Macaca fascicularis: one gene and its partners. The protein of the gene in region 4 purifies or fractionates together with the protein of the main gene of each other region. This does not show direct contact. Links are inferred from orthologs where the notes say so. Each region holds a gene or a part of one and is shown on either strand. Other genes may lie near its edges. The genes, in order: cyclic AMP-dependent transcription factor ATF-7, NFE2L2, DHX9, JUN, COP1 and CREB5.

Region 1 (5,084 bases), on a different chromosome or scaffold from region 4:
TTCCTTTTTTTTTTTTTTTTTTTTTTTGAGACAGAGTCTCACTCTGTTGCCCAGGCTGGAGTGCAGTGGCTGGATCTCAGATCACTGCAAGCTCCGCCCCCCGGGTTTATGCCATTCTCCTGCCTCAGCCTCCCGAGTAGCTGGGACTACAGGCGCCCGCCACCTTGCCCGGCTAGTCTTTTGTATTTTTTAATAGAGACGGGGTTTCACCATGTTAGCCAGGATGGTCTCAATCTCCTGACCTCGTGATCCGCCCATCTCGGCCTCCCAAAGTGCTGGGATTACAGGCTTGAGCCACCGCCCCCGGCCAACATACAATTTTTTCTTACAAATTTAAGGTATGTTTCCATCATTGTATTCTTTTAAGTAGGAATTGTTATAGGGGAGAGTAGTTTGGAAGCCAAGACACCTCTCAACTTTTCTCAATTCACTACATAAGAAAGAAAGTGTTTCTACACCTGTGTCACCTTAGATATCTAGGGAGAAATCACCTAGATTCTTCCTACCTCTCAGAGGGTGCTGTGAGGATAGATAAGATGCTAGACAGAAAGTTCAGAAAGCTAAGTAACATAAAGCTGCAAAAGGAGAGAACAGAGATTCTGTAGATAATATTTTAAGTCAACTACAATTTGTTAAATTTTAAGATGATTATTTTATTTATTTATTTATTGAGACAGGATCTCACTCTGTTGCCCAGGCTGGAGTGCAGTGGCCTGATCTGGGCTCAAGTGATCTTCCCACTTAGTCCCCTGAATAGCTACTACAAGTGCAGGCCACCATGCCCGGCTAATTTTGTATTTTTTGTAGAGCTGAGTTTTCGCCATGTTGCCCAGGCTGGTTTCATATTCCTGGATTCAGGCAATCCTTTTGCCTTGGTTTAGCAATGTTGGGATTACAGGCGTGAGTCACTGCAACCAGCCTGTTTTTTGTTTTTCTTTTTTCTTTTCCTGGTTTGTCTTGAACAAGACCTATACATTTTTGAATATAGACTTTGCATTTGATAATTCCCCTGAAATCTTCCCAAGTCATAATTCAACTCCTGGTGTGTTACTTCCTCAAAGAGGTCTTCTTTCAAACACTAGGAGTAAAGCTTCTTCCCCATTCCTAGTAACTTTCTGTCTCACTATCCTGAAGCACTTTTCACTATTTGAAATATTTGTGTTTATTGGCTTTTTAATTGTCTCCCCTTCCTCACTCAAATATAAATCCTACCTGGGTTGATAACTCCTTAACCCCACGCTTAGAACAATGCTTTGCATGTAGTATGCCCTACGTTTTGTGAAAATATTTGCTGAATAATACAGTGATTTAAAAAAAATCCTCAAGCAATTTCATGTACCTCATTTGATCATTACAACAATTTGAATAAAATGAGATTGTTAGTCCCATTGTACAGAGACTAAGAGAAGATTTTCACCCAAGGCAATAGGACTAGTAAAATGGTAGTGTTAGAATTGCTGTGCAGGTGGATTGCTTTGTCCACACATGGACTTCATTTCTAGGGCTAAGGTTATTTTACTTTGCAGTTAAGGAAGCGATGACTCTGAAAGATAGTGGTAACCACCACTACAGGCACCGGTAAAGATCTTCTCTCCTTTTTCCTTTCTTTCTCCCGCTAGATTCTGCAGCCGAACACGTGTGACTCGTGTGGACAGTACTCGCTCAGTCTCCCTCCCCAGCCCTGCCCACAGTAAGCCCAACACCTTCTTTTCCCGGAGCCCCGCCTCTCGGCCGCTTTCCAACTCAGCCCCCACGGATCTCGCCCTTCCCCCGCGGCCCCACGACTTCTCGCGAGAGTTGAGCGCGCCTGGCCGGACGGGAGGAAAGTATCCGTTCCGCCGAGGGGGGAAAAGAGGAGCTGCAGAGAGATTGTAGGACCGAGCGCGGGCAGGCGGAAGGCAACGGAGCTACCAGCCGGTAAGTCCTTTTAACATTAGCTAGCCCATGATCTGACGGGACTCTCCCTTTCAACTCTGGCCAGTCCCAGCGTTCCGGGCTGGGGTCTCCCCTCCCAGTCTGTATTGGACGGGGGCGCTGAGGCGGTGGCCGGGCCCTGTCTGAGGAAGAGGGTGGGGGCATAGGCCAAAGCCGACCAATAGGAGAGAAGGAAGCCTCGATTGGCGGCGATGAGCGCTAATGGGAGATCGCTTTTTCCTTGCCGAGTGCCGCCCCTCTTCTCTCCCTACTCCCGCCTCCTTCCTTTGGGGGGAAGGCGGGGCCAGAGGCTTGAAGTGTGGGGAGAACTTGGGGTAAGTAGCCCCGGGGGGCGCAGGGCGTGGCAAGGAGAGGGGAATTGAATCCTGAGGGAAGGGTAGTCTAGTGGAGCCTAATGGAAGGATCATGGGATGGGGTGGAATGGGAGAAAGAGGAGGGATACTAAACTAGGTTAGAAACCCAGGACTTCCCAAAGAGTGGGATTAGGAGCTTGGAATTGGAAAAGGGTAATAGGCAGGAGGTAGGATGAGTAGATGAGAACAAAGATCTTGATCTGGTGACACAACACCCCGTTGGGTTTATCAGGAAAGATAGATAGGGGTGGATTATAGGAAATGAGGGTCGTGGCATTTCGATTGAATTAATAAAAAGAACATCAGGGACATGATGTCAGAGAGAAAGTATGGATTTGGAGAAAATTAAGTGAATGAATTTAAGAGGACAGTATGGGTGAGCTGAGTCGCCATAAGGCATGGCTTCTGGAAGGATATGAGCCTTGAGAGCGATAAGAGAAGTGTTTGGGAAGGAGATGGCTGATATACACATGTCTTTTGCCTAGGTATCAGGTGGTTGGGATATTGATTTAGGGCTTCTCGTGGTTATGGCACCCAGACTGGTGACCAGCCTCCAAGATGCTGGGATGGGAGTTGAGAAGGAGAAAAATAGAACACTTTCATCGCTTCTCTGATTTTCCTTCTCCCTCTCTTCTATTTCCCAAACTCTTCCGAAACACCGAGATGTGGGCTTTGGACTTAAAGCAGTCCAAGTTGGAGCCCCATAGGGACTTATATGTTGCTCTGAATTGCTTGTTATGTTCTCTGACTAGGGTGTTTACAACCCAGGGCACCTCCTACCCAGATTCCCGCGTTGCTACTTCCCTAACTTTAAAAGTTTATTTTCTACTTAACAGAGGGTGTTTTAGTATCTCTGAGGGTCATGTCATATTAAGTACAGGTGTGTGGGGGGTGTGCACAGTTTTCTCAGCAAGCTCACATGAGTCCTGTGTTTAAAAATTTTGCAGTAGTGTAATTCTTGTAGAGATATCAGTCTTTATGGGCATTCTAAGCAGAAATGCTACAATGAAGTTTGTTTTGTTAAATGTGGCTTCCCAGTCACTCTCAAAGAGTTGTCGAATGGGTGGTTGCAGTTTTAGTTAACTTATATAATATGTTTTTAAATGGTGCAAATGAAATAGACATGTTATTTCAGGAAAGTGAAAAATGTTCAGTTTTTTCCTTTGGGTCCAGACTCAGAAACTAAAGCTATGTCATAATGTCTTAGGCCAAGGGCTGGGGAAATCAAACACAATTTGTACTACACATGGAAGTTGTAAGGTAAGTGGAGGCTCTTGCGAAATGTATCATGTCTGTAAGAAAAGAAGCTAAAGAAAAGTTTGGCAGCTCTACTAAGTAGTCTTACCAGTTCTTAATTCTGTACAGAAGAGGGTCAGGGCTTTGCCCTTTGATAGTTGTGTATCATTTAATAACGAATTGGACTAATACAGCCAATTAATAACTTCTTTGCTCTTGCGTAGATTTTGCTTTTACATTCCTTCTCTTCTCCTTTTATTTTTGAGAAGTGAAATAATGTCCGAAATATCAGGAAAGCTATTATATGAAGAGAAACCAGAGTATGTAGTTGTATTAACCTTTGGTTTTCTGCAATCAGTTGAAACTTTTCTCCCTGGCCAAGAAGTTGCCCCTATAGCACATTGAGACCAATTCATTGCTGACCCTTTAGCATTAACTACTGAGCTGGGTTCTAGTATTTCACAGTAAGAGCATTGCTATTGGACATTCAGAAAATTTCCAGTTTGCCTGGCAGCAGCACAAAAAAATACCCAGTGAGAGAAGCAGAGTCCCTTGTTTTGGTCTTCTGTCCTAGACTTGGTGATTGGCTTTGACTAGGGCACTATTAAACCCAAGATTATTTTTTCTCACTAGTGTTACCATCTAGCAGAGAGCTAGAGTGATAACACCGCTCGTCTTTCAACTTGTGGATCAAAGTTTACACCCTGTGGTAGTTTCAGTGTTGTAATTTTTAAACATGTTTGTTTACCACGGTTTTAAAATGTTAATAGCTCCACTTACTGTATCTTGTTCTCTTTCCTTTCCTCATTTCCAACCTAAAATGAAAATTGTTTTTTCAGCCAACTCTTAGACTAATTCTTTGCCTGGAGTAAAGTTGCTGGCTCTGTCTGAACACAGCTGCTCTGAAGCTCTCAGAAGTTATTGTTTTGTGCATGTCAAGACTGAGTTTTTCCTAGGCTACAGTGGGAGGGAGTTAGTATTACCGCAGCCTCCTATCCACATCTGATAAGGAGGAGCCTTCTCCTTGCAAGGAAGTTTTAGGTGGAACAGATAGAACTCCATGTAAATGTCTAATAAAACTAGCTGTCTTCTTGAGACTAGTTGGCATACTGGTATGTAATTGTCCTTTATCCCTTGATAAAAGTACTAAAGTTAAGGTACAGATGTTTCTTTGAGAAAAACAAATGCAGCATTCATTTAAAAGGAAAAAGCATTCATTTCTTTTGTTGTTGGTTTCTCAGAAAATGGTCCTATGGTTTTGGAGTTCATGAAAAAGTCTTCTGTCTCTTTAAAAATATGTCAAAGAAAATAATTTTTAAGCTTCTCTGACATTTACTCATTTTGACATGTTGCCTTCCTCTAAGAGGTTTTTTTTTAGGAGAGATCAAATAAATTCATGATATGTGAAAACATATCATAGCTGGTATCGCTGACGGTTGGTCTTTTAACTTCTGAATGCTCTAAGGAGAAAGTGTCCACTTCACAGATACCGTGTTCCATTATTGAAGCTTTACTTTTATAACATTTTTTACGTTGTGCTGAAGCTCTTTAGTTCTGTTA
Region 2 (5,162 bases), on a different chromosome or scaffold from region 4:
GGTGGTCTTGAGAATGGGGTTCCCTTTATTTGACAAAACCAAATGCCAAATAGCTTTTCCTTACTGTTTGTTTTTCTTAAACATGTTCAAACTCTTATCATATTGCTCTCCTCCCTTTGAAAATATGTACTCTGCAGGTGCCTGAAATAACATACTCTCAGCAAATTGCAGCATTGGAAAAGTGAAGGTTATTTCATTCAGTCTAAACTCAATGGAAATTTTGTGGCTTAACAAGGAAACACCAAATTATAAACTCCTTTAGAGAAGTAACCGTGTCATATGACTCTGGTATCTCCTACCGGCTAGGTTCATTGTCTACCTTCTCTGATGTCGTAATTTTAATAAGTAACTTGAATTGTTAACAATTTACTCTTGTCTTTCTCTTGGACTCAGAAATGTTATTTTATTATTATGTCTCTGCATCTTTCATGTGAGGTCCTTTGCAAACAATTTCTCCTAACTTGTTTTCATTGTGCAGATAATGTTGCAGGGTTTTCACATAACAGCTGAAAGGAATTAATAGGAATTGAAGAAGCTTGCTTCAATTACAAGTAATTAATGTAGGCTTCACTTATCTCAAGGAATATCTGAATATACAAATTTACACATAAATCCTGGGAGTGTCAAATTATGCAACAGAGAGAAAGTAAGCTCTGCAGTTTTTTGGGCGTTGATCGCTATAGTCAGGGGTGTGTGTGTGTGTGGTTTTTGAATGAAATAGTAAAACCACTGCCAGTATTATCTACTTCACCTGGTTCTGAATAATTCCAGGAAGGTAGAAACTGAAAACCAGTCTTGTTAAAGAGTTAGAAAGACTGTAAATGCGTAAGAGGAAAGAAAAAAACAAAACCAAACCATTTATCTATCCTCTTTGAACCCGTATAAGGTTCACAATATTCCTGGTTTCAAATACTTGAAGTTTTCTCTGGGCAATAATTAATGTTTAAATAATTGTTTTTAATGTAAGACATAACACATACGCATTGCAGATTTAAAGCATACTTGGAAGTAGCAAGGAAAAAGATAAAAATCATTGATTCCACAGCATTTAATATATTGGTAACTATCCTTCAATTTTTTTCTGGGCACATGTTTTTATAAAATGAGCCAATACTATACAAACGTTTTTGTAACTTTTTAAAATTTGTACTATTTTGTGAGTACGTGAAAAAGAAATTTGTAAAGATTAAAAGATCATAGCATGTTGTGGTATTACACACTGTTGAAGGGCGCCATCTGTGGCGTGGTGGCTGTGCTTTAGTGGGAAGAAGTTCTCTTGCGGTTCCCGTTTTTCTCCCAGCTCTGGGTAGGCAATACTGACCACTCTCCGACCTAAAGGGACTTCTCCGTTTGCCCTTGACGGAGACACGTGGGAGTTCAGAGGAGAGCGTTCAGGGTGACTGCGAACACGAGCTCCCGGCGCTGTCCACATCTCCCCTGGGCAGGGCCCACTGCCCCCAGCCCGGGAGGGGAGCAAGGGCGGGAGGGCAGTTGGCAGTGGCACGGCCTGGGTCCAAACCTTTAGCCCCCCACCCCGGCTGGCGCCACTCTCGGGCGGTAAAGTGAGATAAAAGCAGGGCAAGGTTCTGTAACTCCAAATCAGGGAGGCGCAGCTCCTACACCAACGCCTTTCCGGGGCTCCGGGTGTGTTTGTTCCAACTGTTTAAACTGTTTCAAAGCGTCCGAACTCCAGCGACCTTCGCAAATAACTCTTTATCTCGCGGGCTAGAGCGCTGCCCTTATTTGCGGGGGAGGGCAACTGAACGCCGGCACCGGGGCGCTAACTGTGGCCTCCTCTCGATCCCCCGCCTGCTGGGACCCCAGCTGGCAGTCCCTTCCCGCCCCCGGACCGCGAGCTTCTTGCGTCAGCCCAGGCGCGGGTGGGGGATTTTCGGAAGCTCAGCCCGCGCGGCCGGCGGGGGAAGGAAGGGCCCAGGCTCTTGCCCCGCCCTTCTGGGGCGGGAGGCGGAGCGGGGCAGGGGCCCGCCGGCGTGTCGCCGATCAGCGAGTGCCGGGGAGCCCGGAGGAGCCACCGACGCCGCTGCCGCCACCAGAGCCGCCCTGTCCGCGCCGCGCCTTGGCAGCCGGAACGGGGCCGCCGTCGGGGAGCCCCAACACACGGTCCCCAGCTCAGCATGATGGAGTTGGAGCTGCCGCCGCCGGGACTCCCGTCCCAGCAGGTGCTGCCTCGGCCCTCTGGGCCCTGCGGTGGTGCCGGGACGGGGGCGGGGGAGCTAGGGAACCGCGGCCCGGGAGGGATAGCCGCAGCCGGCTTCCTCCACGTCCGGTCAGAGCCAGGACCGCAGCGCTGGCTGGAGCCGCCGCGCTTGCGCTGGGGCAGGGTGGGGAGGGGCAGCGGGGACGCGGCCGGGTGGTCCGACCGACCACGAGCCCGAGGGCGAACGGGTGGGAAGTTGCGGGAAGGTCTGGGGACTGAGCCCGCGGGCGTGGGCAGTGGTGGGCGAATCCAGCCGCGTCCCCGGTCCCCAGAGCTGGGCTTCGGAGCCCCTAAGTTTGAGCGGCCCGGCGGGCAGCGGGGCAAGAGGGGGCGGACGCTGGCCGTCTGAGCCGGCGCGGCCCGGCCCTTCCGGGGCTGCGCGGCTCCCCCGCCTCAGAGCCGGCAAAAATGTGCCTAGTCACGGGGCCACTCTCGGGGGAACTGAGGTCGCCTTCGGGCTGGGACCCAGAGCCCCTTCGCCGCGCCCCAAGACCTCCGTGTGTGCGGGCTGCGGCGCGCTCACCCCGCTGGGCCGTCTGTGGGCGCTGCTTTGCGAAGTCATCCATCTGTCGGATCACTCTCTGGCAGCCTTGAGCTTTCTTGAAAGCTCAACCCCGGGACGAGGGAGGAGCGCCTGAAGTGCCCAGCGGGCCCAGAAGCCCCGACGTGTGGCGGCTGAGCCGGGCCCCGCGCACTTTCTCGGCCGGGGAGGGGTTCGGGCCCGGGCACCCGGAGTTGGCCTCTCGCAACGCCGCGGGAAAGTGCGGGCGAGGGCAGCGGACTCTGAGGCCGGAGTCGGCGGCACCCGGGGCGTCTAGTTCGGACGCTGTGCCCCCTGGTGGCGCGCACCGCGCGCGTGGCTTTGGCCTCTGTGACAGCGGTCTGTTGGCCGTCACAGCAGCCCTCGGTTGGCCCTTTCCTGCTTTATAGCGTGCAAACCTCGCCGCGCCAGGGCCAAGGGACAAGTTGGAGCTGTTGATCTGTTGCGCAATTGTTATTTTCCCCAGAGCGGCTTTGTCTTTGGATTTAGCGTTTCAGAATTGCAATTCCAAAATGTGTAAGACAGGAGATTCTCTTCTGTGCTGTCAAGGGTAAGAGTTGCGAGTGTAGATTAGAATTTCTATTGCTTTTAGTTTGTTAATAATTTTTTGCTTTCAGCTGTTATTTCTTCCCTGAGTACTTTATATATTTTTCCTTTTCAGTTGAGAATTTGCCTCAGTTTCTTAACATGTCCACCCTCTTTTGCAGGGGCAGAGAGTGGAACGCTTGCGTTTCAAAACACATGCTAATTTCTGTAAATTGTTATAAAAGGGAAAAGAAGTTTCAGCTCATCCTTGTAGAAACTTTAAAAGTAGATATTTATATTTCTAATTTCTTTTGTAAATGAATTTTAGGAAAAAAATTGGAATTCAAGGAAACGTGTACTTGATGTACGGTAAATTCGTTTATGCTGTTAAATGTAAAGTCTTAGGTTAATTCCAAAGATCTATTGTAAAGTTTTAAGTTATAGACAATGTATTAATTGTGCCTTTTTTTCCCCCTTTAAAGTTGTCTTGAACTTTTCCCCAATCTTGATTGGGATTATATTCTTCTGGTTCCAACTAGGGAAGAAGTAAATTGTACTTTACGATTTATTTAATAGCTGCTGTTCAAGAGTTATCTATAGGAATGCTTGTTTGACCGAAGGATATATGATAAAAATGAACTTTGGTTTTTCTAATTTCCCAAATTGTCTACAACCCTCTATTAAATTTTTCTTTCTTTGCTGTGTAATATAACATTCCATATACAAAAATGCATAAAACATATGTACTGCATTGTGTATTTTTCAATTACGTTTGATAAAAATAACTGCTTTTCTGCCTTTGTAATCAGATATCGATTTGCATATTTGAAAACAGAAAAAGAACAAGAAAATTTAGAATTGATTTCGTTTATGATTCATATTAGATTGTTGTCATCCATAAAGATTTGAACTGAGTCAAACATTTTCTTGATCTTTTGTCAAAAAAACTCTCCAGGTGTGAAGTGGTAGTAGGATGTAGTTTTTCACCTTCTGTGCAGAGGATGTGTTGATAAACAGGGCAGTAAGGAGAGCCTTAGATTCAGTATCCCCATTAGGTGGAAGGAACATCCATTACTCTTTTCAAGGGTGTCTTGGAGAGATAAAGTACTTTCCTGGATGAGGGATGAAGCTGATATTGAAATAGACCGATGAGATTATGTTTAAGTCAAACAAAAGAAAAATAGGACAGGCCTCTCATCTCCTGAATGAATGTTAAGCAAAGACCAACTTGACTTTTTAGATATGTGAAAAATCTCTTGAGAGGTTGTGGAAGCAGCATGTAGGAGGATAAATGCATAACTCACATCAGTCTTTTCCGCATTAAAAATAACTTGGGCCATTTTGAAATCTTTCTTTCTTGCCCTGGGTTGTTATAAGCAACGTTGGGGGAAAACCGACTCTGTCTTTAGGATTACCAGGAAAAGTTGAAAGCCAAATGCATCATTTTTCTTAAGATTTGTTTCTATTGAGGATAAATCATGTTTAACAAAGCTGCGTGAAAAAAAGGAACACAACAAGTACATTTTTTTTTTCTGGGAATTTCCTCTGTCCTGACTGAAGACATTAAAAGGGGGTTTTGTGTCAGTATTTCCTCCTTAACTGTTCCTTGAACGTGGGTTATCTTTTCAGTATGCAGGAAGAATTTGGCACTAAGATAATAATAGATAAGTTACTGGGCACTTCCCTGGGTCCAAACATAATTGCTTCACATGCATAATTTTACAGTAACCTCACGGGAAATACTATTATCCCTGGTTTCCAGGTTGGGAAAACCAGAGATAATAGTTAGATCAGGCATTAGGTTAGGAAAGAGGCACAGAGAAAGGCCAAGACCTGCTAAGGTGACCAAACTATTGAGTGGCCAAGGTAGCATTCAAA
Region 3 (4,556 bases), about 140 Mb from region 4:
TTTAGAGCATGGTTCCCCCTTCCTCCCACTGTTTTGTTCAATCCTGAATTCTCAAATATTTCTGGTGTCAGCCTTTTAAAACCCTCAGGTTGCAAAGGAGTGATACATTTGTTGATGATTTGTTTTCTTTCATATTTTGTCTTTCTGAACGGATTGGGCTTGGTAGCACTTGGTGACTTTAAGAACAATAAGATACCTAAGTGTGCCTGAAGCTCATCGTTGCAGACATTTTTTGTTATCAGTATCTTACCATAGATTTCTGATACAAAGCAGTGACGAATTCAGGAAAAGACAATGTGGGAGGCACAGAAATTGGGGGAGCCAGGACAGCATTGCTCTTTGTATGTCCTTTTATTTAAAGGCATAACAGACAGCAACACCAGAGGTCTGTGTTCATACACACATGTGCTGCTGCTTAGGCTGAACTAAGCAATCACATGGGAAACTATTGTAAACTGATTTCTGGTGTCGCTGTTCCCCCTAGGTGGAGGAGAATGAGATTGAGTGCTGACTTTAAGCCTGGCTGAGAAACATACTGGCATCGATGTCATTAATGAAAGGGTGGATGTTGTTCCCCTGAAAGCCAGTGGCCTTTGACCCCTGAAGCCGCTGTGCCTGAAGGTCAGTTCACACGAGGTATAGGAAGGAGTCTTAACATTTATTTTTTTCTTAAGCCTCACCCAGCCTTTTATTCACACCACCAAGTCTAGGTTAGAATGTATCTGAGCAGTGAAGGGACCAGAATGCATAGTTTTCAAAGGGCAGTTTTTCCCTTACTAAAACCTAAATTCATTTTTTAGACTCTGCTAGCAGTTTTAGATGTAATGTTACAACATGTGTTTTATTCTCCAGGACCTGATTTAAATAAATGTGATAAAAATAGGCTAAGTTTTTTGTCATCCAGGGCTGCTTCCAACTGCAGGCAGATGTGAGAACTCTGCCTCAGGAGCCATTGATTATGCACAAAGTGTATGTGCATGTGTGTTTGCGTATATTAGCTTAATAGATCGCAGTCATTACTGAGTGGCCTATGCAAAGGAATCTTACAATAATTATAACTGTAATGTAAAACATTTGGGGCCTGCTTTATTTCTTGGCTCCAAGCTAAGTGGAAAATTCCTTTTCATGGAATGTGTTGTAGCTCTTGAGACTCCAGCCTTTGGAATAAGAGTAAGTAAATATAAAATCTAATACCCTAACGTTTTCCTTTCATGAACAATTGGCTCATCAACTTTGATTATAGTTGTGTTATGCCATGTTGTATATTATATGAAGTTTATATACTTCATTTGTTCTAGGGTTGGGCAGAAATAAATGTTGGTAATTTTTTTTTTTTTCTGTGATTTGCCTAAGCAGTTGGAAAGCCTGCCTGACTTGGGAGACCTGGATTTGCCAGTTTCTAACAGTGAAATTTCTAACCTTGCTTGTATATGTTGTTACAGGAGCTTTATTGCAGAAATGACCATTTATATCAAGCAGCTGGGCAGAAGTAAGTGTTACTGTTACCCAATATTCCAAGTCTTTGTATAGAGAAGGAATCTTCACATTTAAGTCTTGAAATACAGAAGCTGTATTATTGAAAGAGCACGTGATATAAGATAGCATCTAGGGTATATATTAGAATATTAGTAATTATAAAGTAGAGGCAAAGTCTCCCAGTTTGCATGTGAAAACAGACCGTGTTAGTGTAGTATTTCAAAAGTAAGACACAGTGAGATGATTAGGAATCTGCCAGCGTCAAAGAATTTTAAACTTTTTTTTTTTTTTGAAATGGAGTCTTGCTCTGTCGCCCAGGCTAGAGTGCAGTGGCGTGATCTCGGTTCACTGCAAGCTCCGCCTCCCGGGTTCACCCCATTCTCCTGCCTCAGCCTCCCCAGTAGCTGGTACTACAGGCGCCAGTCACCACGCCCAGCTAATTATTTTGTATTTTTTAGTAGGGACAGGGTTTCGTCATGTTAGCCAGATGGTCTCGATCTCCTGACCTTGTGATCCGCCCGCCTCAGCCTCCCAAAGTGCTGGGATTACAGGGGTGAGCCACTGCGCCTGGCCTTAAAACATTTTTTCATTTTTATATATAAAATGAGTTATTTTGAGTGGATGGGTAATACTAAGGGAGAGAGGATAAAGGCGGGCTAACTTATGTCAGCTCACTTATCAAGGTTAATTTGGCTAGTTAGGCAGAAAGATATCTTTGTACCCCTTTGCTTTATATTCATCTCTCCTAAAGCTGAATGATACTGGAGGAGAGGAAACTTTCTATTAATATTTTCTTTAAGGATATGAGTAACTTAGCTTTAGTTTAATGCTGAAGTCAGCAAACTATATCCCTCTGGCCAAATCCAACTTACTGCCTGTTTTTATAAGAACTGTTTTATTGTGTAACATAGCTACACTCATATTTTAGACTTCACAGGTCACACGTTGTTATTTTCGTTTTATTTTTACAAATCCTGAAAACCGTAAAGCCATTCCCAGGCCTGTGGTTTGTCAAACTCTATTGTCAGTAAGTGCTTTCACACATTAAAGGCAGAGTTGAGTAGTTGTGACAAGAGACTCTATGGCCTGCAAAGCCTAAAATATTTATTATTTGACCCTTTATGGAAAAAGTTTCCCAAATCCTGGTCTAGTTAACCACTCTGGACCCAATTACTTTTACTGGTTTATTTTTTACTCTTTGTCTTTTCAAACTATGTTTTCTTCCCCTTTTTTAATGCCCGATGATCTTAACAGTGACAACTTTGTTGAAATAGATTATTTGCTTTCATAATATTGATTTGTATGAGTCCTAGTATCAGCCCGTAACCAAAACAGTTGGTTATTTAGTTGCTAAGCTGTTGGGCAATTTCTTTTGTTTAGCTAGAACCCATGGCATACACTGTATTTGAGAGCTTCTTGTGTACGTAAACCCATAGTTTCTTGTGATGTTTCTTCACTTAGGTGATTTCTTTCTGGTAATCCTGACCTTACATTACAGGGATTTTTGCACGAGAACATGGATCAAATAAGAAACTGGCAGCACAGTCCTGTGCCCTGTCACTTGTCAGACAACTCTACCATCTTGGAGTGGTTGAAGCTTACTCTGGACTTACAAAGAAGAAGGAAGGAGAGACAGTGAGTCTTTAGATTTAATAGACTTGTGAGATAGTGTAGGATTCAATTTAGCTCTTGTTTAGTATTTGGCTAAAGAAGTTTAATTTCAAGGAATCTTACCTCAGGGAATGAAAATGGTCCTGCTAATCATCTCTGTGTCTGGCATAATGTTCATAATAGGCAGTGAGTAAATAACCATTGAAGTAGTTCTTGCACTAAAGGGAACTGACTGTTGGTTTAGGAATATTGTAGACTTAGTATTGACTGTATAGTCTTAGCCCCATTGTAGTAGATTTGAGTAGTGTTGTTATGTGTGATCCTTTTTCCGTAGGTGGAGCCTTACAAAGTAAACCTCTCTCAAGATTTAGAGCATCAACTGCAAAACATCATTCAAGAGCTAAACCTTGAGATTTTGCCCCCGGTAAGCATAAAGCTATTTAGTTCACATTTGTGTAAAACACTCAGTAGACAAGCAAGTCATATTTTTTTTTTCTTATTTTTTAATAGCCTGAAGATCCTTCTGTGCCAGTTGCACTCAACATTGGCAAATTGGCTCAATTTGAACCATCTCAGCGACAAAACCAAGTGGGTGTGGTTCCTTGGTCACCTCCACAATCCAACTGGAATCCTTGGACTAGTAGCAACATTGATGAGGGGCCTCTGGCTTTTGTGAGTGTAATATTGTTTTTGAGATGAGACTCTTGTGTTTTACTCTTGACTATACTTCATTAGTATGTCTAGGTAAAAAATGGATTTATTTTGAAGCAGAATTACATGCTTTGTTTGACCATGTTGGCTTTTTGTTTTACAGGCTACTCCAGAGCAAATAAGCATGGACCTCAAGAATGAATTGATGTACCAGTTGGAACAGGATCATGATTTGCAAGCAGTAAGTCTGAATTATTTAGACATGTAGTGCCCAGAGCTTCAGAACATTCTAGGTTTGGGTAAAAAGTCAAAGAATAATACATTTTGCCCTTTTTAGGAGGGCACATCAAAAGATATGTACCAAACTGCTTAATCCTAGTTACCCCAGAAGTTAGTTGCTGTGAGTTGAGGGCCTGGGAGATAATTTCACTTCTTAATGTAATTTAATAAAAGTGGAGAGATTCAGGGCAGTAACTCCTTTTGTTGTTGGGTTTTTTGTTGTTGTTTGTCTTTGTGTTTTCCAAATAAAAAATTAAAATGTTAGAAGGAGTGCATGTGCGATGTTCAGGGACAATGAGAAAATTTAGTTTTTGGACAACACCAAAAGATACATTCTTCAGAAGTTTAGTGGAAAGAAGCAGTTCTATTAGAGAAATTTTTTGGGGAAAAAAAAAAAAAAACATTTTATCACTAAGCCAATGGAAATCTAAAAAAGAGATGGAAGTTTGGTTTTTTTTGTTTGTTTGTTTTCTCGAGACAAAGTCTCACTGAGTTGCCCAGGCTGGAGTACAGTGGCATGATCTCGACTCACTGTACCC
Region 4 (5,158 bases):
AGCGCCTGGCTCACAGTAGGCTTTCAGTTACCCTCTGCAGATCAGTGAAAGCTAGGTGGGTGTACGGAGTGAAGAAAAGTTGGCAGGTTTCCCACTGATACCAGCTGCTGTTGGTTTCTGAACACTCAAAGCCGCAAATACCTTAGGGCTGGGGGCAATGAACCCTAGGCTGAATTCCAAGTTCAGAAACAGTGAGGTCTGAATTTAGAACCTAGGAACTTAAACTGCTGCAGGTCCAACTTCAAGCCCCAGTTCTAGACAGAGGCTTGGGAAAGAGCTGACTTCTAACCCTGTTCCCCCTCCCCTCCTCCCCTCGAAGCTTCTCACAGGAAAGTACACCTGGTCCTGCCAAATCGCACTCTTATATCCTGGCATCCTATCCAGGCTCTGCGAGGATGGAAACCGCGAGGCAGGGGAGGGAAGCGAGCTGTTTGGCCACCACCTCCCTAGTGCTGCAGGCGACCCTGTCACACTAACTCCCGGCAGCCCGGTGATGTGGACGGCACCGGCCCCACCTGCAGATGAGGGTAATGAAGCTCAGAGGAGTTCCGTGATTTGCTCGCTTCACACTGTTGCAGCCTGGCCACGAAAGAACAAGCATTCCCGACTTCGGGATTCTTTCCACCACACACTTTCGTCCCTAAGGGGTGGGGGGCGGGGGGAAGATAAAATAACAACCGCGGAAAAGGAACCACTTACATGTGTCTAGCGCTTCCTAGAGGCTACTCAGGATATGGGCCCACCACCCGGCCGGGAAGGTGGAGATTTGAAGTCCAGGTTCTACCCCGGGCTCCTGAGTTCTACTGCGTTACTTTATGCGAGTGTCCCCCGCCTTCTGAGCTTGTTTTCCCGGAAGCAACTCGGCGCGGGTGGAGAGTGTGTGCGTGTGTGTGTGTGTGTGTGCGCGCGCGCGCATGTTGTGCGTGTTGTGTTAAGCGTGTGTGTGTTGTCCGGGGGCGGGAAGGGGAGTAGACTAACACCGGGGTTCCCCGAGTTTCGGATCGCCTACACGCTTGTTCCCATCTGGACCCTGTTACCCACTAATTGCGCCCACTATAAAAACTGCCCCTCGGAGGCAAAGCTGTGATCCCCCGCGCCCTTTCCCCCACGGTCCCGGAGGATGAAGTGGGGTGCAACGGAGACTCAGCTGAGCGTCCAGTTTTGGGCAATACAAATCTCTCAGCTTCTAAGAGCAGCCAGACAACCCCGCGGACCATCGCTCCTGAACTTGACCGAGATGCAAACTTCGCAGCGTTTCTCAACGTGGGGGGCCGACTCTCGGGAGACCGCCCCCAAACTTAAGCCCCCTTAGGCTCGCCCCCAACTGGGACTTCACAGAGCCACCTTAAGGGCGGCGCTCCCGCCCCCCGGAAGTGCGGGGGGGCGGCGGACCTGGACTCTCAGCCTCCCGCCCCGCGCGGTGGCGGACGCCGGTGGATGACTTCGAGCCCCACAAGTGGGGAAACACAACCACCCCTCGCCCGCACCCTTGACCCAAAACAACTGGCCGGGTTCCCTGGCCTCCCGGGTCCCCGCATCCCCTGCATCCCAGTCCGCAGCCGTGAACTTGAGCCCCCTCCGTCAGATGTTGCGAGCGTCCGCCCGCTCGCGGCAGCCACCGTCACTAGACAGTCAAACCCCAAGACGTCAGCCCACAATGCACCGGGCGGGCCGGGAAAAACGGCCCGGGGAGGGGACCGGGGAAGAGAGGGCCGAGAGGCGTGCGGCAGGGGGGAGGGTAGGAGAAAGAAGGGCCCGACTGTAGGAGGGCAGCGGAGCATTACCTCATCCCGTGAGCCTCCGCGGGCCCAGAGAAGAATCTTCTAGGGTGGAGTCTCCATGGTGACGGGCGGGCCCGCCCCCCTGAGAGCGACGCGAGCCAATGGGAAGGCCTTGGGGTGACATCATGGGCTATTTTTAGGGGTTGACTGGTAGCAGATAAGTGTTGAGCTCGAGCTGGATAAGGGCTCAGAGTTGCACTGAGTGTGGCTGAAGCAGCGAGGCGGGAGTGGAGGTGCGCGGACTCAGGCAGGCAGACAGACACAACCAGCCAGCCAGGACGGCAGTATAGTCCGAACTGCAAATCTTATTTTCTTTTCCACCTTCTCTCCAACTGCCCAGAGCTAGCGCCTGTGGCTCCCGGGCTGGTGTTACGAGGAGTGCCCAGAGAGCCTGGTCTCCAGCCGCCCCCAGGAGGAGAGCCCTGCTGCCCAGGCGCTGTTGACAGCGGTGGCGAGCAGCGGTACCCACGCGCCCGCCGGGGGAAGTCGGCGAGCGACTGCAGCAGCAAAGAACTTTCTCGGCCCGGAGGGCCGGAGACAACTGGCCCAGAGTCCCGGAGCGAACTTTTGCAAGCCTTTCCTGCGTCTTAGGCTATTCGGCGGCGGTAAAGACCAGGAGGCGGCGGACAGCCACGCAAAAGAAGAAGGACGTGCGCTCAGCTTCGCTCGCACCGGTTGCTGAACTTGGGCGAGCGCGAGCCGCGGCTGCCGGGCGCCCCCTCCCCCTCGCAGCGGAGGAGGGGACAAGTCGTCGGAGTCTGGGCGGCCGAGACCCGCCGCTGGTCGGCCTCTGCGGGTCGGCACTGATCCGCGCCGCCGGGAGAGCCGCTGCTCTGGGAAGCGAGTTCGCCCGCGGACTCCAAGGAACGGCGGCGCCCGAAGAGCGCTCAGTGAGTGACCGCGACTTTTCAAAGCCGGGTAGCGCGCGCGCGAGTCGACAAGTAAGAGTGCGGGAGGCATCTTAATTAACCCTGCGCTCCCTGGAGCGAGCTGGTGAGGAGGGCGCAGCGGGGACGACAACCAGCGGGTGCGCGCGCTCTTAGAGAAACTTTCCCTGCCAAAGGCCCCGGGGGGCACGGGTGTCCCCCGCTTGCCAGAGCGCTGTTGCGGCCCCGAAACTTCAGCACGCAGCCCAAACTAACCTCACGTGAAGTGACGGACTGTTCTATGACTGCAAAGATGGAAACGACCTTCTATGATGATGCCCTCAACGCCTCGTTCCTCCCGTCCGAGAGCGGAGCTTATGGCTACAGTAACCCCAAGATCCTGAAACAGAGCATGACCCTGAACCTGGCCGACCCAGTGGGGAGCCTGAAGCCGCACCTCCGCGCCAAGAACTCGGACCTCCTCACCTCGCCCGACGTGGGGCTGCTCAAGCTGGCGTCGCCCGAGCTGGAGCGCCTGATAATCCAGTCCAGCAACGGGCACATCACCACCACGCCGACCCCCACCCAGTTCCTGTGCCCCAAGAACGTGACAGACGAGCAGGAGGGCTTCGCCGAGGGCTTCGTGCGCGCCCTGGCCGAACTGCACAGCCAGAACACGCTGCCCAGCGTCACGTCAGCGGCGCAGCCGGTCAGCGGGGCGGGCATGGTAGCTCCAGCGGTAGCCTCGGTGGCAGGGGGCAGCGGCAGCGGAGGCTTCAGCGCCAGCCTGCACAGCGAGCCGCCCGTCTACGCCAACCTCAGCAACTTCAACCCAGGCGCGCTGAGCAGCGGCGGCGGGGCGCCCTCCTACGGCGCGGCCGGCCTGGCCTTTCCCGCGCAACCCCAGCAGCAGCAGCCGCCGCCGCAGCCGCCGCACCACCTGCCCCAGCAGATGCCCGTGCAGCACCCGCGGCTGCAAGCCCTGAAGGAGGAGCCTCAGACAGTGCCCGAGATGCCTGGCGAGACGCCGCCCCTGTCCCCCATTGACATGGAGTCCCAGGAGCGGATCAAGGCGGAGAGGAAGCGTATGAGGAACCGCATTGCTGCCTCCAAGTGCCGAAAAAGGAAGCTGGAGAGAATCGCCCGGCTGGAGGAAAAAGTGAAAACCTTGAAAGCTCAGAACTCGGAGCTGGCGTCCACGGCCAACATGCTCAGGGAACAGGTGGCACAGCTTAAACAGAAAGTCATGAACCACGTTAACAGTGGGTGCCAACTCATGCTAACGCAGCAGTTGCAAACATTTTGAAGAGAGACTGTTGGGGGCTGAGGGGCAACGGAGAAAAAAAATAACACAGAGAGACAGACTTGAAAACTTGACAAGTTGCGACGGAGAGAAAAAAGAAGTGTCCGAGAACTAAAGCCAAGGGTATCCAAGTTGGACTGGGTTGCGTCCTGACGGCGCCCCCAGTGTGCACGAGTGGGAAGGACTTGGCGCGCCCTCCCTTGGCGTGGAGCCAGGGAGCGGCCGCCTGCGGGCTGCCCCGCTTTGCGGACGGGCTGTCCCCGCGCGGACGGAACGTTGGACTTTTCGTTAACATTGACCAAGAACTGCATGGACCTAACATTCGATCTCATTCAGTATTAAAGGGGGGAGGGGGAGGGGGTTACAAACTGCAATAGAGACTGTAGATTGCTTCTGTAGTACTCATTAAGAACACAAAGCGGGGGGGAGGGCTGGGGAGGGGCGGCAGGAGGGAGGTTTGTGAGAGCGAGGCTGAGCCTACAGATGAACTCTTTCTGGCCTGCCTTCGTTAACTGTGTATGTACATATATATATTTTTTAATTTGATGAAAGCTGATTACTGTCAATAAACAGCTTCATGCCTTTGTAAGTTATTTCTTGTTTGTTTGTTTGGGTGTCCTGCCCAGTGTTGTTTGTAAATAAGAGATTTGGAGCACTCTGAGTTTACCATTTGTAATAAAGTATATAATTTTTTTATGTTTTGTTTCTGAAAATTCCAGAAAGGATATTTAAGAAAATACAATAAACTATTGAAAAGTACTCCCCTAACCTCTTTTCTGCATCATCTATAGATACTAGCTATCTAGGTGGAGTTGAAAGAGTTAAGAATGTCAATTAAAATCACTCTCAGTGCTTCTTACTATCAAGCAGTAAAAACTGTTCTCTATTAGACTTTAGAAATAAATGTTCCTGATGTACCTGCTTCTATGGTCAGGTTATACTCTTCTTCCCCCAGCTATCTATATGGAATTGCTTACCAAAGGATAGTGCGATGTTTCAGGAGGCTGGAGGAAGGGGGGGAGTGTGTTGCAGTGGAGAGGGACAGCCCACTGGGAAGTCAAACATTTCAAAGTTTGGGATTGTATCAAGTGGCATGTGCTGTGACCATTTATAATGTTAGTAGAAATTTAACAATAGATGCTTATTCTCAAAGCAGGAATTGGTGGCAGATTTTACAAAAGATGTATCCTTCCAATTTGGAATCTTCT
Region 5 (4,556 bases), about 140 Mb from region 4:
CTTGTATGTACCACTTCCAGATCTCTATGCTAGAAATAAAATACCTGGTTTTATTTTTCTGTTGCATGCAAAAAAAAAAAAAAATTTATCTTAAGCCAATATCTAGCTATCTGATAGTTTAATTCTAAATAACTTTTTTGTAATCATATTGCCTTTGGGGAGAGGGGATGTATTGAGATATGAAGCCATTATTTTTCTTTCATTAAATTTTAGTCCTAAAAGACCATTCAAACTGGCATTCAATTCATATGTTGACTTTTTTTTTTTTTAACACATAAAGTATTATCTGTTTCTGCAGGAAATAGTGTTAAGAGTTAACCCTTGGATAGCATCTAATATGACATCATATATTAATGCCATAGTAATCCTGAGGTTAACAATAAGACAGTGTTTATTCATGTTGGATAGTTATCAGATGTCTTCCTTCTTGGGTTTAGAGTGGTAATTGTACATATTTTAAACTCCTCTTGTGTGGTAATCCAACTAGATTATCTTATTTGTACTGGGCCTAATTTTCCATACTGTAAGATAATATACTATACTTTTCCTAGTTTTCCTCCCGTCAGAAGTCAGAAGTTTTAATTATGTAATTTATAATCCCTATAACTGCCAGAAGTAGACTCCCTGCTTATCCCCAAGTGAATCCTCATCTTCACCAGGTCTCTCTGCATTCCTTCTCTATATTAAAAGGTGACTAGACCCAAAATGGCAGAAAGAGATGGAGCTTTCGGCTTTAAATTTTTCGTTGTCTTGTCATTCTCATAGCAGAGGGAGCAGTTCATGATGGCTGCAGCATTTAGTGGTGGTGGCTCTTGGCAGTCGCTTTCTTGCAGACCAGAGTCTTTCCCCTCCTTGAATGGCAACTAGGTTGATCAGTGAGATTTTCAACTGCTTTTCTGGATGATGTTTACAGGAGAATTATTTCTGGGTCACCAGTGGCAGTTCTGATACCATACAACTTGTTTAAAATTCTTGCTAGAAAGAAATCCATATTGCACCACACAGTGCCTCTTTCTGCTGTTTTCTGAGGCCAGCATAGAAATGCTGTCTCTTGACCAACTCAGGGTAAGTTATTATGTTCCTAAAGGATATCCAAAACCTACTCCAACCACTTTCTACATTCAAGTCACTAAAAGAGTAAATAAATCCCAAATTTATCTTCCTTTCCCCTCACTCCAACTCCCCACCCTGAATATGGAAGTGTTGATTCTGTATACATCAAGTCCCAGAAATAGCCCATAATATTCCAAAGTTTATGTTTAAATTAATTCTAATAGTGAGTATTGTATTACCCATGTTCCTTTTTTTTTTTCTTTTGAGACAGAGCCTTGCTCTATCGCCAGGCTGGAGTGCAGTGGTGCAATCTCAGCTCACTGCAACCTCCGCCTCCTGGGTTCAAGCAATTCCCCTGCCTCAGCCTCCTGCCTAGCTGGGATTACAGGCACATGTCACCACGCCCAGCTAGTTTTTTGTATTTTAGTAGAGATGGGGTTTCACCATATTAGCCAGGATGGTCTCAGTCTTCTTTCTGACCTCGTGGTCTGCCCACCTCTGCCTCCCGAAGTGCTGGGGTTACAGGCACGAGTCACGATGCCCGGCCCCCATGTTACAATTTTTAAGAACATGTGCTGCTGATTTAAGGAAAATCCTCAGCTAGGAAAAGATCAACAATTCCCATGCCCATATGTCTTTATTTCTTCTTGATAAACCTATAATATTTGATGCTACTGACTAATTCCAAGGAGTATTCTGATTCCATTAAAAATTCTGCAGTAGTGGAGGACATTATTATTTTCTTGTATGCCATTAGTAACATGATGCACATTTTTGAAGAGCGGCTTTATTCGAAATGAAAGGGAAATTTTAAAAATGGAAATATATGAGTTTGTAAAGCACAACTTGCATATGTCAAAGAAACTAAAGTTTAACTCAGCTTAGCTGAAGTAACTTTTCTAACATACAAGCCAAGAGTTTTCTTTCTTCTTAGTATTGCTTTGTCAGGAAGCCTGAAGGATATTTAGGTAGATCCTATCCTTCATTCAAGTTAGACCACTTTATCTGTTTCTCATAGCTGTTATTTGGACTTCATTTTTCTCTCTGCCACCTGGCCTGACCTCTATGGAAGTTTAAGTCTGTTTACCTCCTCTTAGCTGCCTACCATGGAAAGCAAAAGACTCCAACACGTCAAAGTTGCAGAGCCCTGTTAGATGCCCAGTTTCCTACAGGAGGCATGTCTCCACTCTTCCTACTTTCTGAGATTCTCTCTAGTAAAGTCAGTCATGTCCATTTTTTTTCCCACCCTTCCTAATTTCCAGATAAATGTTTTTTCCTTGGCTTAGAGTAGAAAAATACTTCAACACATATATTCTCATCCAGGTAATCACCAAGTTTATTAAAAATGCATGTGCTGAATGATAGACTAATTAAAAAGAAAGATAGCCCTTTTTCCCAAATGAATATTCACATTTTCTTGTTTTCCTAATACCAAATGTCCATCCATAGAGATTTGTGCCAAGGATGTTGGCAGGTTTTACATCAATTACTGGTATTTTATGAGAGAAAATGAATTAAGAAGAAGTGTTCTGGGGAAGCAATTATTCACTTTGTTTTTCTCAACTTACTCTTTTTTTCATTCTATTTCAGTCTTGGTTTCTTTTGGCTTTTCTTCCATTGACAATCTTTTTCCCTTTTATTTTTGTTTACATTCAAAAATGTCCTACTCTGCTTCTAACTTTTTATTCTTTTAATCAAAACTTACTCCTCAAAATATGGGGTCTTAAGTTTAAAATGTAGTTAAAAACATGTTAAAATTGTTTCTTCGGCTGGGCATGGTGACTCACGCCTGTAATCCCAGCACTTTGGGAGGCCGAGGTGGGCAGATCACTTGAGGTTGGGAGTTCGAGACCAGCCTGACTGACATGGAGAAACCCCCATCTCTACTAAAAATACAAAAATTACCCAGGCTGGTAGCGCATGCCTGTAATCCCAGCTACTCAGGAGGCGGAGGCAGGAGAATCACTTGAACCCGGGAGGTGGAGGTTGCGGTGAGCTGAGATCATGCCATTGCACTCCAGCCTGGGTGACAGAGCAAGGCTCCATCTCAAAAAAAAAAAAAAAAAATTGTATCTTCATATTAGATTCAGTTGTCTTAGGAAGTGAAGAAAGAAGGATGAAGAGGAAATTATCTCTTGGATTGCTTTCCAGGAATTCCTTCTCTATACTTTAAAAGCTCTTATTCTTTTCTAGGAGTCCAATGTGCTGATTGCTGCTAACAGTCAGGGTACAATTAAGGTAAGCTATTTACTGTATCTCCATTTTAAACTCAGGACCATTTTTAGACTGAAACAGGATTATGGAAATATACCATTGTACTGAGTCTTAGCGATCATCCCAAATCATGGGTCTCTGTCTCCTGGCAAATGGCTTGATTTAAGGAAAAAGAATAGGTAGCTTGCATCTGTGGAGAAGATGATAGTGCTTGTTGAAGTTGTATGGATGCTAGATGGATTAATAGATGGTCAGTTTGAAAAACAGATAAAGACTAGTGAACATTCACTGGGGGCTAAGCACAGTTTAGCTTCTGTTATGCCAGTACAACTATCCCACAGGGCTTTCAGTAGACAGAACCCAAAACATAGCAGGAGATGCAAGATATAGCAGAAGATGCTTACACATCACCAGATTTAAACATATGTTAGTCTTATTTTATTCTCTTCCTCATGGTTCTCTTTCTTCTGTTCCCTAAAAAGTAGGTTTTTCCTCAGTTGTCAAAGGGGGGGGACAAGTTATTTTAGTGTTCAGTTGAAAATTGATAGATGTGATTCAAGGAAGCCTAGCCATAAAACAAAAAGAAAGAAAATTGATTGATGCATATATAGCACTTGTACATGATACACTGGATAAATAAATCCTGAGATAAGCAGTGAACTTTCTAAACAAAACACCATTTTGGTTGAGTACCTGTTTTTTCCACATATTCTCTGCTTATTTGGTAGAAATATTGAAAGTTTTTTAACAAAATGTGTGTGTTTCTCCTGCCACTTAGCATTAATTTTGCCATAGCTTCCTTAGACTCATCATAAATGGAGAATGACCCATCAGCCAAGGCAGCAAATCCCAGCCTAAACATTATTCTACAGAGGTGAGATGAGCAAACTTAACGCAAAAGAACTGCACTGATTTACATGGTAGTCTCCTTTTTTAGGCAGCCAGTTTCTCTATTTGAAAAGTCTCTTTAGAGAACCACTAAGAGCTTAAATGAAAACGAGGTTTGTTAACTGATCAGTGTTTGTTATATTCTGGAAGCCTCAAGCAAGATGGTAGAAGGTCTTGGAATATCCGATTTAAGTGGCTTTCTGTAGTCTCTCAGTCTCTCTCTTACTCTCATGTCAAGGCATGAATTGAAAAGGTACACCTTACTCTTCAACAGGTTTATCCTTTGCACCAATTGGGATTGCCAACATATCTGCAAGAGCTCAAAACTACATAGGTTCTCATAGGATCGCACTGACAAATCTAAGATTTTGTTCAGCATCATTGACCTCTTATGTTAAGTA
Region 6 (5,009 bases), on a different chromosome or scaffold from region 4:
GGCTCAGACTTTTTCTTTGAGGGAGAAGATGGTAGACACCTGCTTTAGGTAGAAAAGGCTGTACTGGTCATAGAACTGATCCTGAGAGGGTATTGCTTCCTTCCATAAAGGAAATGTCATATTTCAAGTTTTATTGGTTAAGGTTCAGCTTAGGACTGGAGCCCTTCTTTTGTCGTTCCTTCAGGACTACATGTGGAAAACACTAAGTAGAAAACTCAGTGATGAACTCTGAATAAGGCTGTGAGGATCAAACAGTCATCAGTCCCTGTGGTTTCAAGGAACACTAAAGGGCAAGGGGCCATTTAAACACTTAAAAACAGAAATAACATGCTAAGCTCTTCCATTTAGTATGTCAAAACCAGCTCAGAAGTATGTGACAATCCAGGCAATGTATTACAGTTTCTAGCCAGTCCAGTCATGATTCTCTGGCAAACTGCACCGTCATGGTTGTGATGCGTTGGGATGAGAGGTACTATATAAATGTCAGATGTTACATAAATGTCAGAAATGATTATTGTTTATTAACGGGGGCTAAACTGTTTCTAAGCAAAGCTCCAACTCCCAGCCAATGTGTTCTTAGCAGAGGTTCCAACCACCAATAACCCACAAGAAGGGAATGTTTACCCCTGGCTCTATGAAGGAGCCCAGTTGGGATCTGGGCTTGAAAACAGGGATTGAGGTGGGCCCAGTGCCACCCCTTGCTCATCAAGTGATCTCAGGCCAGCCCCCTAACCTTCTGGTGTCTGCCTTAGCTCACCTGTAAAATGGGGATAATTATAATACCTGTCCTACTTATGGTACCCGGGTTGTTGTGAGAAACAAGGGAATTCACGTGGTTGCAAATGCTTTGTAAGGTGTGAGGGGCTGCGAGGTTGGCACTGGTCGTCTAGAATCGGGCTGGATTTAGTCTATGCCTTCTCTTTGAATCCTACTCAAAGGGAGAACTTCTGAAAGGAAATTCAGCAGGGGAATGGTGACAGTGATGGTGACGGCCGGATGCTGGAGACGCCAGGCTCCTCTCGCTGCAGACCAGGCGCCCGGATCCTGCAGTCTGGCCCTGGCTCTGCCGCTTCCCAGCCCGTGAGCTTGGGCCAGTTACCGAAGAGGCTCTGGAAGTGACAGCCAAGGGCCCTTTCAGCTCTGACGCCGTGTCTAAATCAGGCTCATCACTTGGCTCTAGCTGTGATTCACCTTTCGCCTTAGGAGCAACTCTCCCTACAGCTTCTCAGACGCACGAAGCAGGGGTCCCGCGAAGGGTGGGGGCTGTGTATTTCATGAGAGTGTGCACCATAAGGAAGTTATTCTCCTGGAGGAGGTGAGATGGGGGGCGGTGAAGAAGGGGTGACAAGTGAGTGCTCTGAGAAGCCAGGATGCAGGGAACACTGAAATGAGGTCATGACTGTCGCAAGCAAAAAGGAGCTGGACATCCTCATTGGGGGAGGGAGGAGCGTCCTGCATTTCTGTTTGCAAAGCCTCTTCCCACATCCTTCAGCATCCCCCTCCCCACCTCTCCCCTAACCCCCATCCCTACACCTTTCAAACCCCATCAGGCCCTCCCCGCAGAACAGCCCACGCCCGCGCCTCCTCCGTGGTCCTGTCTGAAACCATAAGGATTGTTTCCAAGCTGACTCACACCACTAATGTCAGGGAGCCGTGTCACACGGCGCTGGGCTCTGCAAGCTGTTGCTTGCGCAGTCGCCCCCGCCGCTGCCGCTCCCCGGCGGGTGCACCAGGGTCCGCGCGGGCGGGGCGGGGTCTGGGCGGGGCCGGGGTGGGGCCTGCCCCCTCGACGCGCCGGCCCCGCCCCTCGCTCTGTCCCTCCCCAGCGGACCGCAATGATTTAGAAGTTCAGGAATCCCACGTGACGTCACCGGGGGGGTGATGTAATGCACTCTAAATAGAATGTATTGTAATCTTTGCTCAGTCCAACGTGGTCCCTTCACCCGGGCTCCGCTCTTGCCTTCTCCACACTTGTTTGGTAAGTTCCTAAAAATACGGCTCGGCCACTTCTGGGGCTTTTGCATTTAGCCACTTTTGTTGCACTTGCCGCGGGAGCCATCTCGGGAGCGTACTTGTTTGCAGGGGTTGGTTCTCGGCAGCAGCCGCGAGGTTACTTGGTCCAGTGGGCAGGTCACAGGGCAAGGAGTAGGGAAGATGCGATGCATTTTTTTCTGGAGGGTGATCTGTGTTTGTAAACATTTTGGCGGACCAGAGGGAAGTCCGGCCCCGAGTGCTGGTAGACTGTGGAATTCGGCTGTGTCCTGAGGCCACCCCAGAGACCCCGCGCCGAGTGAGTGCCGGAGCGCTCGGTGGCCGCCGCGCCGCGCGCCTGGAGGGATGCTAACGTGGAGCCGGCGCCGAGTCCGCCCGGCGTGCGTGCGTGTGTGGGAGCGCGCGAGTCCCCTGACGCGGGGACCAGTTATGAATCGGGGGTGTGTGTTTGCCTCCAGAGACCTGGCAAGGTGCGGAGTCCTCCAGAAGTGCGGTCAAGCGGCAGCGGAGACGGCGAGCCAGGAACCTCCCCCCGCGTCCCCAGCTTCCCAGCGTGGCGGCGGAATCCCCGGAGAAAGTTTGCAAACTTCCAGCGGGCGCGGCGAGGACTCCGGGTCACCTAGGGGGCGGGTGGGCGCGCGCGCAGGGGGCTCGCTCTCCCCGGTGCGGAGCTGCCGCTGCCACTTCTCCCTTGGGGCTGCTGGCTGCAGTGGGTTGGCGCGCGCCCGGGGAGGGAAGGTCGCCCTTGGAGGGCGCTTGGCTTTCGCTCCAGGCACTCCGGGCTGGAGAGCGGCGAGGCTCCGTCCGCTCCCGTCCACTCCTCCGGCCGCCTCCTGCCTCCGCTGCTTTCTCGCTGGCATCATTACCTCTTCCCGGCCGCTGCCCCAAATGACAGCTCCGGCTCGAGCCTTGGCGGCGCCCAGGCAATTCCCAGGACCCGGCGGCGGAGTCTCCCCCTGCGGCAGATTCTCGGCAGAACCACTTGAACTTTTCGTGAAGTTCTTAGAGGGGCAAGATGCGAAGGAAGGAACCAAGGAGATGTTTTCTCTCAGCAGCTGCATCCACTTCTTTGCCATAGAGTTGTTTTTAAGGGACGTCTAGTAGATAAAGCCCCAGACCTTGTCCACACTCTCATCCCCGTCCCCAACTTTCCCTGGACCGGTGCCGCCCCCACTTGATGCTTGTTCAAGGCCGGGGTCTGGAGCGGGCTACTTGTATGTTTCGTTGTCAGTCTGCAGAATGTGTTTGATTTTTATTTTTCCCTCCTTCTCTGACATGTGTCAAGGAATAAAGGCTGGATACAGGTCCATTACGTCATTCTGCAGGCCAGTAAGTGTTTGATTAACGGCTTGAGCTCCTCAAGGGTTCAGGAGCTTAGAATGCTGACAAAGCAACTCTGCTGTGCATCCCCCTACCCTCCTCACAACACACTCGTGCAATCGCCCCCTCCCTAGGCATCTTTATTGCCCTCTCTTCCCAACCCCTCCCTCTCCACCACTCCCCCGTCTACACCGTTATCACTCTAGCCCCGGCCCCGCCTTTTACAGCTTTCCCTGGAGCGAGCACAGTCCCTGGAGTGTGGGTAAAAGCTTCTGGGGTCTGAGGGGACCACTGTACCTGATCAGCGCGCAATCTGCCCTTTTGTATTATTTAAGAAAGGCACCAGCAAGCCTTCTCCTCTAGAGCGAAAATGCTTAGTCCTGATAGAAAAGGCAAATCAGGAAATGTTTCCAAGCGTTATGATAATACTCTGTCCTCGTGGTGGTGACTTAGGAAGGCAATACACCCACTGCAAACAAAGTACTTCACTTTACGTAGTGCCTGCCCTTCAGCAGAAGAGGGAAGACGAAGAAGCCAGGATGCTGACAAAATCAGGTTTAGCTGAAAGGATCAAGACTAAACGTTTCATTTCCAAAGTAAGGGAATATGAGTTGTTGAACCTAAACTTCCATACAATAAATTGGTGTGTGCGTTAGTTTCTAGCTTTTAACCTTAAGTTTCTATGTTGAAAGAGGAAGTTCAATACGTAAGTCATTGAATTGAGTCAGAACCTCCGTATCTGGCAGTTGAAATAAAGACCCTGTGTATGACTTGTTGCAAGGGATCAAAGTAAAAAGAACTCTTGGCGGGGGGGTGGGGGAGGGAAATGTGCAGAAATTAAATTATAAAAGTATTAACAGAGTTTTGGATAGAGCGGGAGAGGGAATTGGAGTGGTTCCTGATTTGGAGTTGGTGAAAACTAAATAAAGAAATATTTATATTGCCAATATGAGGAATTTCTTGAAGAACACATGTTTTCTTATAATTAGATCTACTTTCTTCAAAGTGAAAGCCATGCTGTAGGGTAGACATTTGTGAAACTCCTGTCTGGGGTCTAATTGACATACTTCCCCAAGTTTGTGGCAGGATTTAGTATTTATTCACATCTAGAGATGAAATAGTGTAACCTCCACACAATATGTGTGCATCGAAAATGTTGAACTTCTTGTTTGTGATGCATAGACTTAAAGGAAAAAAAAAATGGCCCAGTCATGGGCACTGGAAAGTGTGATTAATGATCAGTGATTTAGTGATCAGTGATTAGTGGTTTTATTCAAACTGTTACCTCTGACCAGAAGCACACATCAGAGGATTAACAGGCTCTTTAGATAAATGCTCATTAGTGGAAGGGGAAAAGCAAAGATAATAGGCATGCACCCAGGGACAACTTTCGAAGAAAATCATTCCCGTCTTCAGAATAATAAGCTCTATTAACAGAAAGCCCTTTTAATTTAAAACTTGCTTTTATCTTGTAAATCAAAGTTAGATGTAAAAGTTTGTAGTGCCATTATAACCTAAATTTTCCCATATCCACTAGATGTGGATTATCTCAGTAGCGATATTTTTTTTTTTATTTAAATAAACAATTGGACCTTTAGAGCAGCTGAACCCTGACAAGTTCTTAACTCCCAGGGTTTGAAAGTGTCCCCCCTTCTAGCATGGAGATTGCAGCTTGCTAACTAGATGGCGCACTGTTA

What was found.
Region 1: the proteins of JUN (region 4) and cyclic AMP-dependent transcription factor ATF-7 purify together in Homo sapiens (affinity purification with mass spectrometry; 3 studies listed by BioGRID and IntAct, with this or other methods). This does not show direct contact. The link is inferred for Macaca fascicularis from reciprocal best matches to the Homo sapiens genes JUN and ATF7.
Region 2: the proteins of JUN (region 4) and NFE2L2 purify together in Homo sapiens (affinity purification with western blotting; 4 studies listed by BioGRID and IntAct, with this or other methods). This does not show direct contact. The link is inferred for Macaca fascicularis from reciprocal best matches to the Homo sapiens genes JUN and NFE2L2.
Region 3: the proteins of JUN (region 4) and DHX9 purify together in Homo sapiens (affinity purification with mass spectrometry; 3 studies listed by BioGRID and IntAct, with this or other methods). This does not show direct contact. The link is inferred for Macaca fascicularis from reciprocal best matches to the Homo sapiens genes JUN and DHX9.
Region 5: the proteins of JUN (region 4) and COP1 purify together in Homo sapiens (affinity purification with western blotting; 9 studies listed by BioGRID and IntAct, counting the BioPlex papers as one, with this or other methods). This does not show direct contact. The link is inferred for Macaca fascicularis from reciprocal best matches to the Homo sapiens genes JUN and COP1.
Region 6: the proteins of JUN (region 4) and CREB5 purify together in Homo sapiens (affinity purification with mass spectrometry; 5 studies listed by BioGRID and IntAct, counting the BioPlex papers as one, with this or other methods). This does not show direct contact. The link is inferred for Macaca fascicularis from reciprocal best matches to the Homo sapiens genes JUN and CREB5.

Annotation. Positions count from the first base shown.
Region 1 is NC_088385.1:60,446,274-60,451,357, reverse strand, and holds the start of cyclic AMP-dependent transcription factor ATF-7, read left to right. Parts: upstream 1-1,813; 5' UTR 1,814-1,917; intron 1,918-2,203; exon of another isoform or gene 2,204-2,249; intron 2,250-3,495; exon of another isoform or gene 3,496-3,548; intron 3,549-5,084. UniProt on the Homo sapiens protein: Stress-responsive chromatin regulator that plays a role in various biological processes including innate immunological memory, adipocyte differentiation or telomerase regulation.
Region 2 is NC_088386.1:72,799,504-72,804,665, reverse strand, and holds the start of NFE2L2 (nuclear factor erythroid 2-related factor 2), read left to right. Parts: upstream 1-1,967; 5' UTR 1,968-2,135; coding exon 2,136-2,180; exon of another isoform or gene 2,181-3,309; intron 3,310-5,162.
Region 3 is NC_088375.1:40,389,687-40,394,242, forward strand, and holds part of DHX9 (ATP-dependent RNA helicase A), read left to right. Parts: intron 1-1,442; coding exon 1,443-1,489; intron 1,490-2,974; coding exon 2,975-3,111; intron 3,112-3,421; coding exon 3,422-3,511; intron 3,512-3,597; coding exon 3,598-3,759; intron 3,760-3,901; coding exon 3,902-3,979; intron 3,980-4,556. UniProt on the Homo sapiens protein: Multifunctional ATP-dependent nucleic acid helicase that unwinds DNA and RNA in a 3' to 5' direction and that plays important roles in many processes, such as DNA replication, transcriptional activation, post-transcriptional RNA regulation, mRNA translation and RNA-mediated gene silencing.
Region 4 is NC_088375.1:175,917,454-175,922,611, forward strand, and holds JUN (transcription factor Jun), read left to right. Parts: upstream 1-1,970; 5' UTR 1,971-2,948; coding exon 2,949-3,953; 3' UTR 3,954-4,709; downstream 4,710-5,158. UniProt on the Homo sapiens protein: Transcription factor that recognizes and binds to the AP-1 consensus motif 5'-TGA[GC]TCA-3'.
Region 5 is NC_088375.1:33,515,656-33,520,211, reverse strand, and holds the end of COP1 (E3 ubiquitin-protein ligase COP1), read left to right. Parts: intron 1-3,246; coding exon 3,247-3,375; 3' UTR 3,376-3,859; downstream 3,860-4,556. UniProt on the Homo sapiens protein: E3 ubiquitin-protein ligase that mediates ubiquitination and subsequent proteasomal degradation of target proteins.
Region 6 is NC_088377.1:101,860,523-101,865,531, reverse strand, and holds the start of CREB5 (cyclic AMP-responsive element-binding protein 5), read left to right. Parts: upstream 1-1,922; 5' UTR 1,923-1,978; intron 1,979-5,009. UniProt on the Homo sapiens protein: Binds to the cAMP response element and activates transcription.